2 linked regions of the Alligator mississippiensis genome follow. The protein of the gene in region 1 interacts with the protein of each later gene in a biochemical or structural test. Links are inferred from orthologs where the notes say so. Each region holds a gene or a part of one and is shown on either strand. Other genes may lie near its edges.

Region 1 (7,378 bases):
AATTTACTTTGTGCTGACTTTACTGTTGATCATTTTCTTTCAATGGGAGTGTGGACAGGAAAGGAAGGCTTTTCTCTTGTTAAACTGAAAACCTTTTATAACTAAATTACTCAGTCTTGCAAACAATAAACCAAAGGTAATAGAGGGGTAAAGGAAATTCACATGTAAAAATATTATGTGAAGATCCCTAGCTGGTCAATATTGTCATAATTTCACTATCTTTGAGATCACTGTCACTGAACTATAACATTTTATAGTAGTTGAGAGGCTGCATCCAGGTTTTATAAAGTGCTTTGTTCCAGCATTTTAGCAACTAACTTACTGATCATTCATTAACATAGATTACAGGGAACCAAATCTGAACAGTTTTATCTTCTCTTCAAATTACAAAAGTATGGGTTTTTACCCAGAGAAAGTAACTCTGACTAGTATGTTTACAAAGCTAAACGAATCTGTAATACACAGCAAAAAAAAGTTTAAGAACTTCAAAAAAAAACAATAAACAAACAGCTAAAAAATGTTAAGGCCATATTTTTAACTCCATTATTTCAGTGTAAATCTGATGTGCCAGAATGAAGAATCATGCTCTCTAAGATCTGTTCGGATTTCTGTCTTGGAAAGAAAATGATAGAGAAAACAATAAAAGGGATTTTTTTTTTTTTTAAACCATACAGTTAAATACTCCTATTTACAGTAAACTCTAATTAACTTGTCACTGCAATGTGAATAGAAATAATGACAAGTTATCTGGTAATGACCAACTTTTAGAACTGGATAACAGGGGGAGAAGGGAACCAAAGGGCAAATTAAACCAGTGACAAATTAATCGAAGCTTATTGTGCTCTATGCCATGTTAAATAACATCTCTATTTTCTTCTCAAACTTTACTTTTTTGTAAAGATTTGTGTCTTCAATATTTAACTTTTTTTTAAACTGGAAAACAGAAATATGCTTTTGAATTAACAGACAGGTTTTATTTGTAAAGCTCCAATCCTGCAAACACTTACACGGGTATACAATTAAACATGTGAATAAAGTTGTACATGTAAAAGCTTTTGTAGGATCAGGCCCATTGCCTGTATTTGTATACAAAATGGAGTCCAGGCTAAAGAAATAATATCTATTTTATATATTTGGAAGGTTCAGTTCTGCATTTTTTTTTTTTCTTCTTGCTTTGCCATTGTCCTGGAGGAAGCAGTATTAAGTTTTTTTTCTTCATTTGAACATAAAATTGTGTGTGTGTCTTTATGTTCAAATGAAGAAAACATTTAATGACAGAGCAGAAAAACTAATGTGGAACTGAACCTTCCATGTGTTAGGGTCAGCTATAATAGCAACAAAGTGTCAGATATTAGTCTCCATCATGGAAAGAGTATTTCATTTCTATCTAGTACTGTGGATGCCCTTAAACCCTTGCCAGCTACCAGCTGTAAAACTGCTTGTAATCTTCCCTGTATTTGCAACAGAGACCTTTCATGGTTCTCGCTCACTATTAGGGTTTTCCCATGCTACTTCACCACCAATGTTTACAGTTACACTAGAGGCCCAGATTTCTTTGGGAGGCATCTTCTACTGGACACACTGCATCACTGGGATACAGTTAGACAAGCTTTCAAAACACAAAGTATCCCACTTTAAGTCACAGTTATACTTTCAACTGGCAGGTTAGTCAGGAAAACCAAATCAGATACAACAGCAGAGCCCCTGAAGGCTGTTGCAGGAAAAGCCAGAACGTCACACAAAAATGGAGCAATTGTTCACAAACTGTGGCCTTCACACACTATGCTTTTCTTTGTTGTACCAATTCTGGGTCTCCTTAATCCACAGGGAAAAAAATTGCAACAGTGCCAGAACTATAGATATCCTGAGCAAAGGAGGAGAAAAAGGGTGGAAAAGTGGTATGCATCCACTTCAGCTGTTTTGTTTCCTGTACCTGGCAGGACTTTGCATCCACCCCTTTTCTCCTCCCTTATGCAGAATATCTACACAGCTGGCACTGTAGTGGTTTTCTGTGAATCAAGGAGGCCCACAACTGGCGTGACGAAGGTAACCATAGTTTGCGAAGACCACAGCTTGCTCCATTTCACGTGCGACACTTGGGCTTTGCCAGCAGCAGGCTTCAGGGGTGCCACTACTGCACTTGAACTGGTTTTCCTGACCCACCTGCCAGTATGACCATTACCTGAAACAGAGTGCCTTATATTCAAAAGCTGGTGTCTCTTGATCCCACTGACACAGTGGGTCCAGTAGAAGATGCCACCCAAAGAAAGGACCCCCTGAGGGGGGCATGTGGAAGGAGGCAGAGGCCAGTAATACATCCAGCGTTTCCTTCTCCCCTTGATTTGCCCCCTACCCTTGGCAGGGCTTTGTATGCCTGCCCATCTCTTCCCACCTGGCTCAGAAGAGCCCCACAAGCATCCCCATGAAGGCAGGGGGGAAAACCCCTGCGTGCATCTTGGCCGCCAGGATCAGCAGCCACAAATTGCGTCATGACACAGCAACTAAACACAGGGATTTCTGAAGTTACACAATTACAAGCAAAAAACAAAATAAAAATATCAAAAAGAAAGACATACACAGCAGCAAGAGGCGGCGGCGATGACAACCCCAGACCCTCGGCTCGGGCACAGCCCCTCCCTCCCCAGGGCCGGGGGCGGCCCCAGGCCGGGCTGCGCCAAGGGAGGAAGCGGGCCGGGCCGGGCCGGGCCGGGCGCGCTGCCCGCCCCCCTCGCCCTCAGGGCACCCTCCCGGCCAACGTGACCCCCCCCCCCCCGCTCCTCACAGCCCCGCGCCCGCGATCCGGAGTGACCCCGGCTCCCCGCTGGCGGGGCACAGCTGCGTACTCACCCTGCCTGGGCGCGGGGAAGAGGCCCCCGCTCCGCTCCGCTCCGCTCCGCTCGTCCCGTCCCGTCTGTCGCGGGCTCAGCGCCGCGCCATGAGCCGCTCGCCGCCGCCGGCCGGCCGGGACCCGCGGCCGCCGCCCTGTGAGCGCCGCCCGCCGCCGTGCCCGTGTGCCCGAGTGTGTGCGCGCAGCGCCGCTTCCTGCTCCGCGGCCCCAGCTGCTCGCCCCTCTCACTTCCTGGCTGGAAATTCCCGCTGACGTCTCGAGACCAAGCGAGCGGCTGCGGCGGAGGCGGCGGCCGGGGGAGAGAGGGGGCAGGACGCCTGCCGCCGCCACCGCCTCAGGGGGTGCTGCTGCGACCCGGCAAAGCCGCTCGTCCCGGATCCCGCAGGGTCCCGCAAGCTCCTTGTGCCGCCCGGGTTCAAGCCGGGCTACCTCCACTTCCCCGGGTGTGGGAGGGTGTCCCGGCCTCTTCTGAAGGGAGTCAAACCCGGGCCAGTCGCTTACCGCCCAGAGAGGAAACAGTCTGCGCCGGATAGGGGACACTCAGGTTTTCTGCTACTCTGTCCTCTATTGATACACCTTTACGTCCTCTATTTGTCCTAATTAAGGAGGCCCAGAATTGGTACGACAAATAAAACCATAGTTTGTGAAGGGCACAGTTGGTGAATGATCGCTCCATTTTGTCCTCTATTTGTCCTCTTTGGGAGGAAAATACAGGACAAAAAGGGCTTTGTATCAATAGAGCACAACCGGACTGTCCTCTATGACGGCCACCCTAGTGCCAGATGAGAGAAACTCTACCCCCCCCCCCCCGCCCTCCCCAGGGAAAACCCTAGAGAGGAAGAAGCTGGTTACATCCCCCCAGAACACAATCTGGCTTCCACAGGAGCAGGAACTGCTCACCCCAGCAAACACGTTTTGCAGCTCAAAGGGAGCTGTGTGAGGGCACAAGTACTAGGCATTTAAAAACATGCAGGCACTGCCCCCACTGTTGCTAACATTGCACCCGTTTTAGTATGGTGCCAGTTAAAGCATCATCTACTCAAAAAATGCTAAAAGAGGCATTGGAGCTGGAGGGCAACTGGGGTTGCAATAGTCTGTGTGGCACAGACTAGCATTTACTATACATTTGTACAGCACTTAGCACAACAGACCCCCCCTCTCTCCCCAGCTGCCTGGCCCTTTTAAAGTAAAAATAATCATTGATAATATACTGAGGGTCTTGATGCTGATATGAACTTTTATGAAGCAAAATCTAGGATGCTCTGCAGGCCTCTGGAACTGGAAGTGGTTTACCCCCTCTTCTGGTCCACACTTACAGGAAAATCCTCTCCTGCCACAAAGAGAAAAAAAGTCTATTTTAAATCATGTGCTGCAATATTGGAGTGTTATGGACTCTGCCCAGGGAAACCTCTTGAACCGGAAGCAGCAGAGCTGTACTTACATGGCACTCTTCTGTATCCAAGCTACTTAACTCCACTTCATGGCATCGCTAATTACTATAGCTGCATTCATGCAGCGTTGACAAAGCTAATTAGCCAGGGGCACAGTATGACCCAATCGTACTGTTTCTATTCTGCTTTGGCACCACCATGATGTTTGGGACTGTTCCTGAAAATCTGGGGTGGTTCTTTTACTTCTGGTGCAGCTGAGCAAGTACAAGCAACAGTGGGAAGTTTTTGAGGGAAATAAACTTTTCTTTCTTTTGAGCAAGTGCCCCTCCCTGCATGGCAGGGGACTGGGTACAGCAGTGGGATGGAAAAAGATTTTAAACAATGAATTAATAGCCAGTGTACAAAACTGTGGATCTTGCCTCTTTAACACTGAAACATGGATCTCTTCCAGAACCGGAGCAGAAATCAGCCAAAATGCTACATTCAATCAATGATGAATCACATTTTTGCAGAGGTACAGCAGTAGGAAGGTACAGAGGAGGAAAGGTGTCATAATTTCTTCTCAGCAGAGGTTTGGATTGAAATCTTGTGGCTATCTATGGTTGACCAAATTTAAAATCCAGATGTGGGTTTGGATAGCGTTCCCTCAGCCAAATTTTGTGGCTCATTCCCATCTCTAATACTCATTTAGCATTACTTTCAAGGCTGTTTCCAAAAATCCCGCATGACCCACAATTTTTTTTCTCTGTGTTTTTGATAAGGGAACTGAAATCATTTACAGATAAAGACCCTGAATTTCTCTTTTCAAACTGTTCTCTTGACTCATCATGCAATTCTGAAAATGGAATTTTTCACAAACTCTTTCATTGTTTTAGCATTTCTAAGAGAAATAATCAATTCTGAGGAGTTTTTCAGTCCCATGACAGGAATCTGAACTCCCTTGTGGAAGTACAAAGTTAGTACACTGAATTCACTGGAGTAAAAACAGTATAAAGATTTTGGCCCCAGGGCTCTGAATGAAGGAGTTTAATATAGATTTAAAAGATGAGAAATGTTTCAGAGAGATTCAGTTGAAAGAAAAGCTGCCATGTCACAGCTACTCACAGGCAGAACTTGAATGAACAAGTACTGGAACATCAGACATGATGGCATAGAAATAAGAGTTAAAACAAACCGAGCAGATTGAGTTTTAAAAGAAAATTATTAATAGCTTCAGCCCCTAACACTTAGCCTCTAACTTATATCCTGTGCCTGCTCCATGGAGGATTTGGTTCACTTTACTTTAAAAAAAAAAGATAACTTTCATTGTCTTACAGCCCAGTCCTCTACTGTTGAAGTCAATGGATGGTTTGTCTTTAACTTCAGAGGAAGCAATATCAGACCGCAAGGTCCCAATCTTGCAAGGGATCTTCTGCATGGGTTTTTTTTCCAAAAATATTTATGCCTCTCTATATAAGTAAATATATATTCTGATGATGATGGCTGATCACTCACAAATGCTAAAGATTGTCTTCTAAGCCTCTTAATAGTGAATCCGCAGGCGGCTCCATAGCCCAATTCTAAATCCACATATCTTGTTGCAGTGAGGACGGGTGTTTCCAGGAGGGATGGGCACTGTGTTGCTGCGTTGGATGTTCTGATGTCCTTTTAGCCTGTTCCTCTTTTCCTCTTCTGCCTGTCGACGAGCTGTTTCAAAGTGTTGTGGTCCCTCCCAAAGAGCCTTCCTCCATTTTGGTTGGTCCTGAGCAAGGGTCTCCCAAGTGTTGATGTCGATGTTACACAACTCCCCCACACCCCTCCCCACCCCCCACCACAATATACAAGAGTAAGACTTCATTTTGAGCTATTATGCAATCACCTCTATGTACACAGCGCATACACACACAAAATCGGGACAAAAATATTTTTAAAAAATAAAATAAAAATATGTTATTGCAGATGTTTGATTTTTAAAATATAATTTGGGGTTTTTTTCTGGTTCCAAGATGGCTAACCCCCTTCCCAAAAGATGTACTTCCAGGGGGAAGGTGAGGGACTTTGGGTGGCAAAGGTCAGAGGGTTAGGGGATGGGACTTTCAGTTCCAAGATAGTGACCAGTGGGCGAGGCACCTGTCAAGGGGTGGGGCTATCCTTGTGGCCCTTGACAGTTTACCAAAACTCACTAAACGGCTCTCCTGCCGAAATAATTGCCTGGCCCTGATCTCGCCGCACCCCTGACATACCTGCTGGGCCAACTCTCTTAAAATGGAGGTAGCCTAGCTCACTTTATACCACCTGAAGAGAAATATTAGAAGAACCACTAGACATTGAGTTAGAACAGGTTTCCTGTTTGTTTGCATAATCACTGTGGCCCAGAGCAAATTGTATTAGGGTGAATAATAAGGTCTGTAGACTTTTCTTGGTTGGGGGGATGGGGACCAAAGAGTTTCTAGGGTATATACATTATATTCAACACATTTTAAGCATATTTATTGTGTTTGGCTAGTTATTATTTGCATAATACCAGACCAATTCCACTACTAGTTTTTATATTTTAATTAACTATGCTCTCATTTTTCTATTTCTAGGTAGTTCTAACAAGAATCTTACATCAAGTGGAGATAAAGTTGTGATGTTTACAATAAAGAAATTGAATTCCTACCTTTAAGAATGATGGGTCAGTACTTGAGTACGAAATGTTAAGCAAGGGTGAATCAGTTCCTCTATCAATATAGAGCTATAAGAAAGACAGATAAGTTGTTAAAAATAGTTTTTGGTGTTCTTAATGTATCTATTGAAACAAAAGAAATGGTTGAAAGAGGTACCCAAAGTCATAAGTAAAGCACTATAATACTTTAAATATTTTTGGGTGGGAAGCATCTGATGAGCTGTGATGGGAACCTTCATCTCCGATACTTGACCCCTCAATTTGTGGAGTCCCACAATTACCATTTCTATCTCTGGTTCTTTTCAAAATGTGCAGGTAACCACTAGACAAAATGGACAAACATGTATTCAGGGCTAGCACAACCCTATACTATACTAATGCTAAAGCCCTATACCAGGGATCAGCAACCCCCGGCATGCATGCCGAGCATGGCATGCAAGGCCATTTTGCTCGGCACACCACCGCCAGCCTGGGCTCTAAGCAGCTGCTGCC
Region 2 (8,001 bases), on another chromosome or scaffold:
CCGGCCGAGCGTGTACGGCGCGGCGCGAGGGTCAAGCCTCGCCCTAGTTGCGCGCGGCTCCGGCGGGAGCTGGGAAGGACGCTGCTGGGCGGCGGCGGGAGCGAGGGATCAAGCCGGGGTCTGGGAAGCGTCGTGTCCTGCTGCGGGCTCTGGTCTTTTTTTGTCATCCAAAAAGGAGGGGAAACTACGAGCTGGCACTTCCTAAGGGGGATCGGGTCTGGCAAGGGGCACCTCGAGTCTGCAGGGGTTGGGAGCCTGGCTCTAGGCCCGGAGCAAAGCCCTGACCCTGGGACTGCTGTGAGTCATAAAGCCAAGCCAGTGTGTGAGGGTGTGGAGGCCCCTGCTGCACGGGCACTGTGCAATGAATGTAGACCCGCCAAGTGTAAAGTGATTATCACACAAGAAAAATGACTTTCCAGCTATAAAAAAAGTGCCAACCAGCTATAAAGTTAGTGCTTGAGAATGTGTGACAACTCCAGTGCTCTGGCAAGGAAGTTTGGCTCCCGGAACAAAGCCCCCAGAGGCAGCCCACCCTCGTCCGGGGGATGCTTGCCCAGGCATGCACGCAGTGGAGGGAGAAACCCTCCCCCAGTCCCCACAGCCCCCCCCAAGCGAGCCGCTCACAGCTCCATCCCATGCTCTGTGCTGGCAGGGCAGCGTATGTTGGCACCCCTTTGCTTCAGCGCCCAGGACAGTCACCCCACTCGCCTCCCCTCCTGCCCCCACCCCCACCCCTTTGCTACACATCTTGGAGGACATGTTCAGTTACTATTTAGGTGTGGACAGAGTAGTGTTTGAAGCTCCTTAGTGATCCCTGAAATCCTTCAAAGGGAAGCGAGCAGGTATACACACCCTTTAAAGCAGGGGTGGGCAATTATTTCAGGCAGAGGGCTGCTTACTGAGTTTTGGCAAGTCATCAAGGGAGGCATGACAGGCAGCCAGAGGCAGATAAATATTAATTTTCTAAATTTGGGGCAGGGGCTGGATAGGATAGCCTGGAGCATTTTGCCCACCCCTGCTTTCAAGTGTTCTGAAATTGGTGGAAGTACTTTAAAAAGAACCCTGAGGAGAACATGTGCTATTTTGGAGCGCTTCCTGTTTCATGTGTGCATGCTACACTGCCCAGAGTGCATCAGAGGACAGCTTCATCCTCCAGCATCCCACTGATCTTTCCCCCAACCCCATGAAGACAGGGGAGAAAGTGGGGCAGACCGCTCATGAGTGCTCTCCTGTGGGCTCTGCCTTCACTCCCTCAGGTCCCCTGCCTTAGGAGACTGGAGACCCACACCCAACTCCTTTGGAGGGGTTGGAAGGAAGGAAAGTAGGGGGTGCTCTTGGGAAAGCAGGGGCAGAGCGCACAGAACACTGCGTGACTGTCATACTTACCAATTTGCAATTTGGAGATTATACCTACTTTTCTGTAGTATCTTAACATTTACAAATTAGCATGGATGTAGACAGAATTATATAGAAGAATCTGAGACTGGGCACATCTACATGAATGCTTAACGCACAGTAGCCTAATAACACTGTGCAGTAGTGTGCCAGACAAAAACCGTGTTAACACTCTACTGCGCAGTAGTATTAGGCTGCTGCACAATAAGCATCACTAAAAACCCACGTGCTGTCACTACAGCACAGTAACTTTAGTTAGTACTTTGCATTTAGATTTGTTCTTACATGGGGTATGTGACCAGAATTTCCAGTCTTCTCCACCTGTCTATAAAAACTCTTATGTTTTTCCTCCAGAATTGTATGACAGGTTCTTCATAAATTCACTGATGAGCTAAGGAGAGAAACTCAACTTCCTGTGAGGCTGGTCTAAAAAAGAAAATGATCTTATTAAAATGAATAGTGCGCTTAAGAAAATTAACAACTGCACTAGTTCTTTAACAATAATATCTAAGGTCTGCCTGTATGAGAGCTACTATATAATTAAAGATGTGTTATTCTAACTCATCCGCCCACCCTAAATCTCTGTTTATTTCACCCCTCCCTATTTGCTAGCATTCATTCTTCATTTTATTTCCTTTCCTACTGCCTGTGTTTCTCTCAAGGTCCCTTCTTGAATGCCCACTTATTTCTTTCTTCCTCTCATCTTTACACTTTCTTCTTGTACTTCAGAGAGATCTTTCCTTGATGGCATATCAGGTTGTGCAGTGATTCTCAACCAGGGTGCCACAGCACCCTGGAGTGACTTGAGAGCCTTTCAAGGATATAGCAGGTGCTATTCAGTGTTAGTAGTGCTGGTGTGCAACCATGATTCACAGGATAAACCCAGAGATTTCAGGCAAGAATTCATAGCGCTAAAAACATTCTGCTCTGCTGTGGTCTTTCTTGGTTCTTTGCACCGGAAGAATTGCTCTATTATTTTTCTGTAGTTAAAAGCAAAGTGAAAAGTAAGAGCTGGCATTTTCTGGGGGCTACCTTGAGCCAAACAGGGGGTGTCAAGTCTGAAAAAGGACCACTAAAGTAGTGCAGTCAAATAGTACATAAATAAAACAAGACAAACTTTCTGAGGTAAAGATTTGAATTTCAGTTAATTTATCATCTGTGCTTCTGAGGACTGGAACCACATCCATCTGCGTGTACACAGGGCCAAGTCCACTCTTACAGTATTTTGTAATGCATTAATAAATAGGAATGGCCTAGATCAGGGGGTGTCAAACTCATTTTGCCCTTAGGCCGGATTTGGGCTGCAGGGACAGATGCAGACCCACCTCTGGGGGTGGGGTGAGCAGCTGAAGGGATGGGCAAGTGGCAGAAAGTAGCAGAGCCAGCAGTAGCAGGGTAAGGCAGTCCCACTGCCAACAGGGATCCATACCCAAATTCCATGGCTCCTTCCACAACTGCCCAGGCCAGATTCAGGCAATGGGCTGTCTGACACCACTGGTCTCTAACTCTAGACTCCCTCCCTTTCTTGTTCACACTTCCGCCTCCCCATTGTGCTCATTTCATTCAGCCTCCCCAACAGAGGCCTGGGTGTGGGACATCTCACCTTTGTTAATACAGTCAACAAAACTATTTAAGGTGGGCTGCTAGAGGTCCCATATGCAAGCAGATCTTTTCCTTCACTGTCTCTTTAACCCATTCTTTTCCCCTTGTGTAAATTAGCCAGAGGAAACAGGCACGCAACATTATTGCAACTTAAACACAGTTTGCACAGAAAGATTACAACAAAGCCCACAGCCCATCACAAGGGGTTTATTCCAATTGCCTATATGTACTGAAAAGAAGAAACACTGAAGTTTAGAGTGGATTCTTGGCTTCCTTGAGGATAACAAGACTTTAGTCAGCAGCATTTTACATATAATGTTTATAGCTATAAATATACGGAAAATATCACTCTGATCTCATTAACATGACCAGGCTCAGTCATCACTTACAAAACCCAGTGACATGCTGGAGGAAGTGGTTTTGGTGGTCCTTCGAATAAAGTACTCAATAGAAAAGGTGGTACTGTGCTGCAGAGCTGCTATGGAAAGAAGACGTAAAATGTAGCCCTGAACATTTGTTTGGAGAGTTCGCTTCATTGCACAGTTTTATTTTAATCTTGTATCTGTTTTTACAAGTTATCTTGTTTTTATTGTAAGCTGCTCTAAGCCTTTTGGGGGAAGATAACATATACATCTAATAAATTAAACAAAATGGATTTTGCAGCAATTACAAAACTCACATCCAGAACTAAAGAGCCTGAGTCCCTCTACCAAATTATATTTGGTCAACTCCAAAAACAGCCTTGACTGTTGTAACACCTAACTTTTTGATACTCTGCCAGGTAGTGGAACCCACAGCTCTGAGTTACCGGCTCAGACTCCCTGTGCAACGCAAGAGAGAATTAAGTACCTGACTGGGAGTCACAGGAGCCAGTAATATCAGCCATATCAACTAGCCAGCAGGAAATGCCAAACAAATGAGAGGTCCCTTGCTTAAGCAACTGGGAGGTGAGAAACCTGTTTGCAAATCCTGAAATTTTGGGATTTGAAAACTAATGTCTTCAAAAGAGAGATCACCCATCTCTCCGGAGCACATTGTTCATAAGCTGTAGGGTCACTTTCTCACTTGTTTGCTTTCTCTCTGGCCCAAGAAATGGTTACTTTTTTTATAGGTCCTAGCATAGCTTTAACCAGAATGACTGGAAAAAGACTCACTCCAGCTTAGGGACCTGCTATGGGATATAAGAGGCTCCCTGTCCCAAATCAGGACAAGCTGGCATTTGAAAACATCTCTCATGTCTCTGTAGAAAACTTCTAGTCATATGGGTGCTATTGGTGGGGGGAGAGGGTGTTATTCTTTCTTATTGTAAACCTCAACCCACACTCCCTTCCCTATTGTTTTGTTCACTGTTCCAAAGAAACAGTTGAAGACCCAGCCCTGAGCGCCCTTTCCCCTCCCCAATAAGAGGAGAGTCTTTAGCATTGGGCAGGTCTGCTCGCTTCTCCTGAGTTACAAACGGGTAGCCGTAGGTCCAGAGGCCCTGACCCCTTAGACATGGCAACCACCTTTAGCGTGGAGTGGACTTCCCTAGCCTTTAGCCTGCCTGCCTTTCCCTGGAGCTACATGTGCCCCCCCCAGGCAAATGCTCTTTGCAGTAGACCACTGGCTCAGCCTTGCGGCCTCGGGAAGGGGAGTGCTGCCTGGATTGGGCCCCGCAGTCAAAGCAGGTGGGACAAGTCTGCGCCAGGACTGAAGTCGGCAGCCAGGGCGCTGACCAGCTCCACGGTGCCCGTGCTCTTGGTGCCTTTTTTTTGCATGGGCACTGCCAGAGACCCTCCTGCAAGTGCACCAAGGGCCAGGCCGCAGCTGAGCAGGGGGGATGAAAATCTTGGTGCTGGACTCGGGTGCCGAAAGCCCAGCTCCAGTGGGATTTAGGCGCCTAACTAGAAGCGACGGCTCCCTGTGGCTCTGGCGTGAAGGCCCCGGCGCCAAGGCCCGTCCCTCAGCCGGGCTCTGCCCTGCCCAGGAGGCGAGGGGGCCGGGCCGGGGGGTGCGGAGTTCCCAGCGCTTGCACAAGGCAGCGGCCGCGCGGGTTCCTGTAAAGGCAAACAGAAACCGGCGGCGGCGGCGGCAGCGGGAGGTGCCTGCCCCCGGGTGAGTCACGGCCGGGCAGCGCGGAGCGCCGGGCGGGGCTCCCGGCTCCTTGCGCCCGCCCCGCCCCGCCCCGCCCCGTCCCGCCGAGTTTCCGAGCGGGCGGCGGCGGCGGCGGAGCGCAGCCCGGCCGAGCCAGCGCTCGCTGCAGGCGCGCGGCGCGTCGCGGCAGGTACCGGGGAGCCGGGGCGGGCGCACGTGCGCGGGGGCAGGTCCCGTGGGGCCGGCGCTGCTCGCGGGCCGGGACCAGGGACACCGACACCGACCTCGGCTCGGCTCAGCCCCTCTTCTGGCCCCGCCGGAGCCGGAGCCGGACAAGCCCGGCCGGAGCGCGGAGGTGCGGAGGGGCTGAGCGGGGCGCGTGCGGCACCAGGCACCGCGCGGGAGGGCTGTGCGCCGGGGGGTCTCTAGAGGCTACAGTCTTCATTGATATTTAAATAGGTGCTCCTGGAGTAGATGTCTGTCTGTCTATATAGATAAATATATCTGTGTTTGTGTGTATGCACACACCGTACACACATGCAATGTGTATTGTGTTTATTACAGGATTGCCAGCTCTCATGATTTCGGTGTTGTTCTTAAAGTCTGTGCTTTGGGACTGTGAAACACTTTGCTCATTCTTTCATATATATTCTTTGCAGGGTCCCAAAGCACAGACTTTAAGAACACCAAAAAATCATGAGAGTTGGCAATACTGGTATCTCTCTCTCTCAGCACCTATTTAAGTATCTGTCAAGACTGGCCTGGCCTACCCCATGAAGACTGAGGGACTTTTTGGGAGAACTCTATATAAGGAATTGGATGTATGTTGGAATATGTATATAGGTAATGGGATACAGATATATCTATAGATATCTCCAGGTGGCAGAGTCTGGATAGATACTTAAATAGGTGCTAATAGAATATGCATATGTATAGATCTATCTATATGTCTACGTACATATCTGTGTATGTGTGTATATGTATGCATGTGTGTGTGTGTGTGTGTATATATATATAGAGAGAGAGAGAGATTATCTATACAGATATAGATATAACTATATAGACTGATATAGATATATCTAGATATAGGTATGAGCAGACCTGTCCCTTTGGGGGAGTGAATCGGGGCGACTGCCCCAGGCTCCGTGCTTGGGGGGGCGCCCTGTGGACAGTGCCGTACAGGCCCTGCCGGCTCTGGGCTCCAGCCACTCACCACCCTCCACCCCCAACACACACAGGCCCTGCACAGACTGATATGCCTCAGGCCCCGTACACCTCTAGGGTCAGCTCTGGGTATGAGTATACATGTGTATACATATGGGTGTGTATACAATACATACACCCCCTCCCCCCATAGGTGATATTCTGTTAGCACCTATTTAAGTATCTGTGAAGACTTTGGCCTAGCCTACATCTTGAGTTATCTGTTTAGCTCAGGTACTTTAGTTTGAAATGTGTTGTATTAGAACAGGAATGGGAAGGAACATGACGGGGGAGGAAAAATTCTCCCAAATTAGGTGAAGTCCGTGTCAGAGGAGCATTGACATAATGTTCAAAGGTTGGCTTTGCTGACACTTGCAACTCAAGCTAGCAAGGTAAAGCAGAATTCCAGCTGACAGACCCGGATAGAGCCAGTAACCTTTCAACTTCCTACTGATCAACGTGAGCACTCTTCTGTAGAAGGCCTCTTAACTCTAGATAGGGCTCAGTTTACAATAATTGAACTGAATGTTCAAGGTCATGTGGTTGAAGGAGTCCTACTGCAGTGACATCAGGGAATTGGCTGTGAGGAGCAGCACTAAAATTCTGTTAAAGTTGTCCCCGTCTCTTACATGGGGGTTTTCTGCAGGAGAAATTTTTATTATTCATCAAATAGGATGTGTTCAGCTATGGAATGAGAGCATTGTCCTTTAGATCTTACTCTGCTGCAGCTGTCTCTCAGTTTTGCTGGAGCTGTCTGACCACAGGCTAATGGAGCTGTTGTGTGAATACATACATGGAAAATTCTTTCTTGAGATCTTAAAGACTAAAGGTTTTCCCCTTCCTTGTGACAGTCTTGCAGAACTTGATGCACTGGCCTTCCTCCAGACACTTTTCTTTTCTTTGGTGATATTTTTCAAGACCTGCGATTATCTTAGTGCGAAAGCATTTAAAGGAAAAATACCAGCTCCATTCCTTTATTTATAGGTGATGGCTGGTTAAACAAGAACAGATATAGTATTTATATGTGTTTACACTAAGCTAGTTAGTTTGCAGAATAGGGCCTGGACCATGCAAAAAATCTGTATCAGTTTGGGATTCCAGGAATATTTTTTAATACCTGGAAGAAAAAAAAATATGACAAGGTAACAATAACATTTCCTTGGCTGAAAACTACCCATGACAAAAAAACTCTTTGACTTGCCAGTGGCTCATGTGATGTTGGTTGAGCAATGATGTGATTGGAGGAAGAGTTTTTCCTTTTCTTAAACTTCAAGCAGCTGACTAACGCGTGCTTTTTTTTTTTTTTTGCTTTTGTAGGTAAAAGCAGAATTGTAATTAGAAACACAAACTATTTACAGGGCCTTGATTGCTATGTATATTAGGAAAACACTGAATGGAAGTGGCTATGATTTGTTTCTCATATTGTGCATCCAAATAGTGCTCTAATGTACAACTAAAGAGGCTTAGCAGGAAAAATTAATTCACGAGTGGCAAGTAGATACTTTTCTTGCTAAAGGTCATATATGAGCCACTGACAGCTGAAGTATATAAACTCTTTTTAAAGAAAAATTTAAACCTCATTCTGATTAAACAGCCTTCCACACATGAAATCATGTTGTGTTTCTTTCTTCCTCTGTGAACAAACTTTAGCTGCCCATGCTATTTTGAGCAGGAGAAGAATAAAATCAGTGAATATTTTGGTCATTTTCATTTGAGCCCCTGTGGGCA

The links.
Region 2: the proteins of NFKB1 (region 1) and MAP3K8 form a complex in vitro, tested with the Homo sapiens proteins (2 studies listed by BioGRID and IntAct, with this or other methods). The link is inferred for Alligator mississippiensis from reciprocal best matches to the Homo sapiens genes NFKB1 and MAP3K8.

Annotation. Positions count from the first base shown.
Region 1 is NC_081825.1:163,075,795-163,083,172, reverse strand, and holds the start of NFKB1 (nuclear factor NF-kappa-B p105 subunit), read right to left. Parts: upstream 3,012-7,378; 5' UTR 2,848-3,011; intron 2,595-2,847; exon of another isoform or gene 2,577-2,594; intron 1-2,576.
Region 2 is NC_081828.1:191,317,083-191,325,083, reverse strand, and holds the start of MAP3K8 (mitogen-activated protein kinase kinase kinase 8), read left to right. Parts: upstream 1-4,988; 5' UTR 4,989-5,091; intron 5,092-5,172; exon of another isoform or gene 5,173-5,260; intron 5,261-5,293; exon of another isoform or gene 5,294-5,425; intron 5,426-8,001.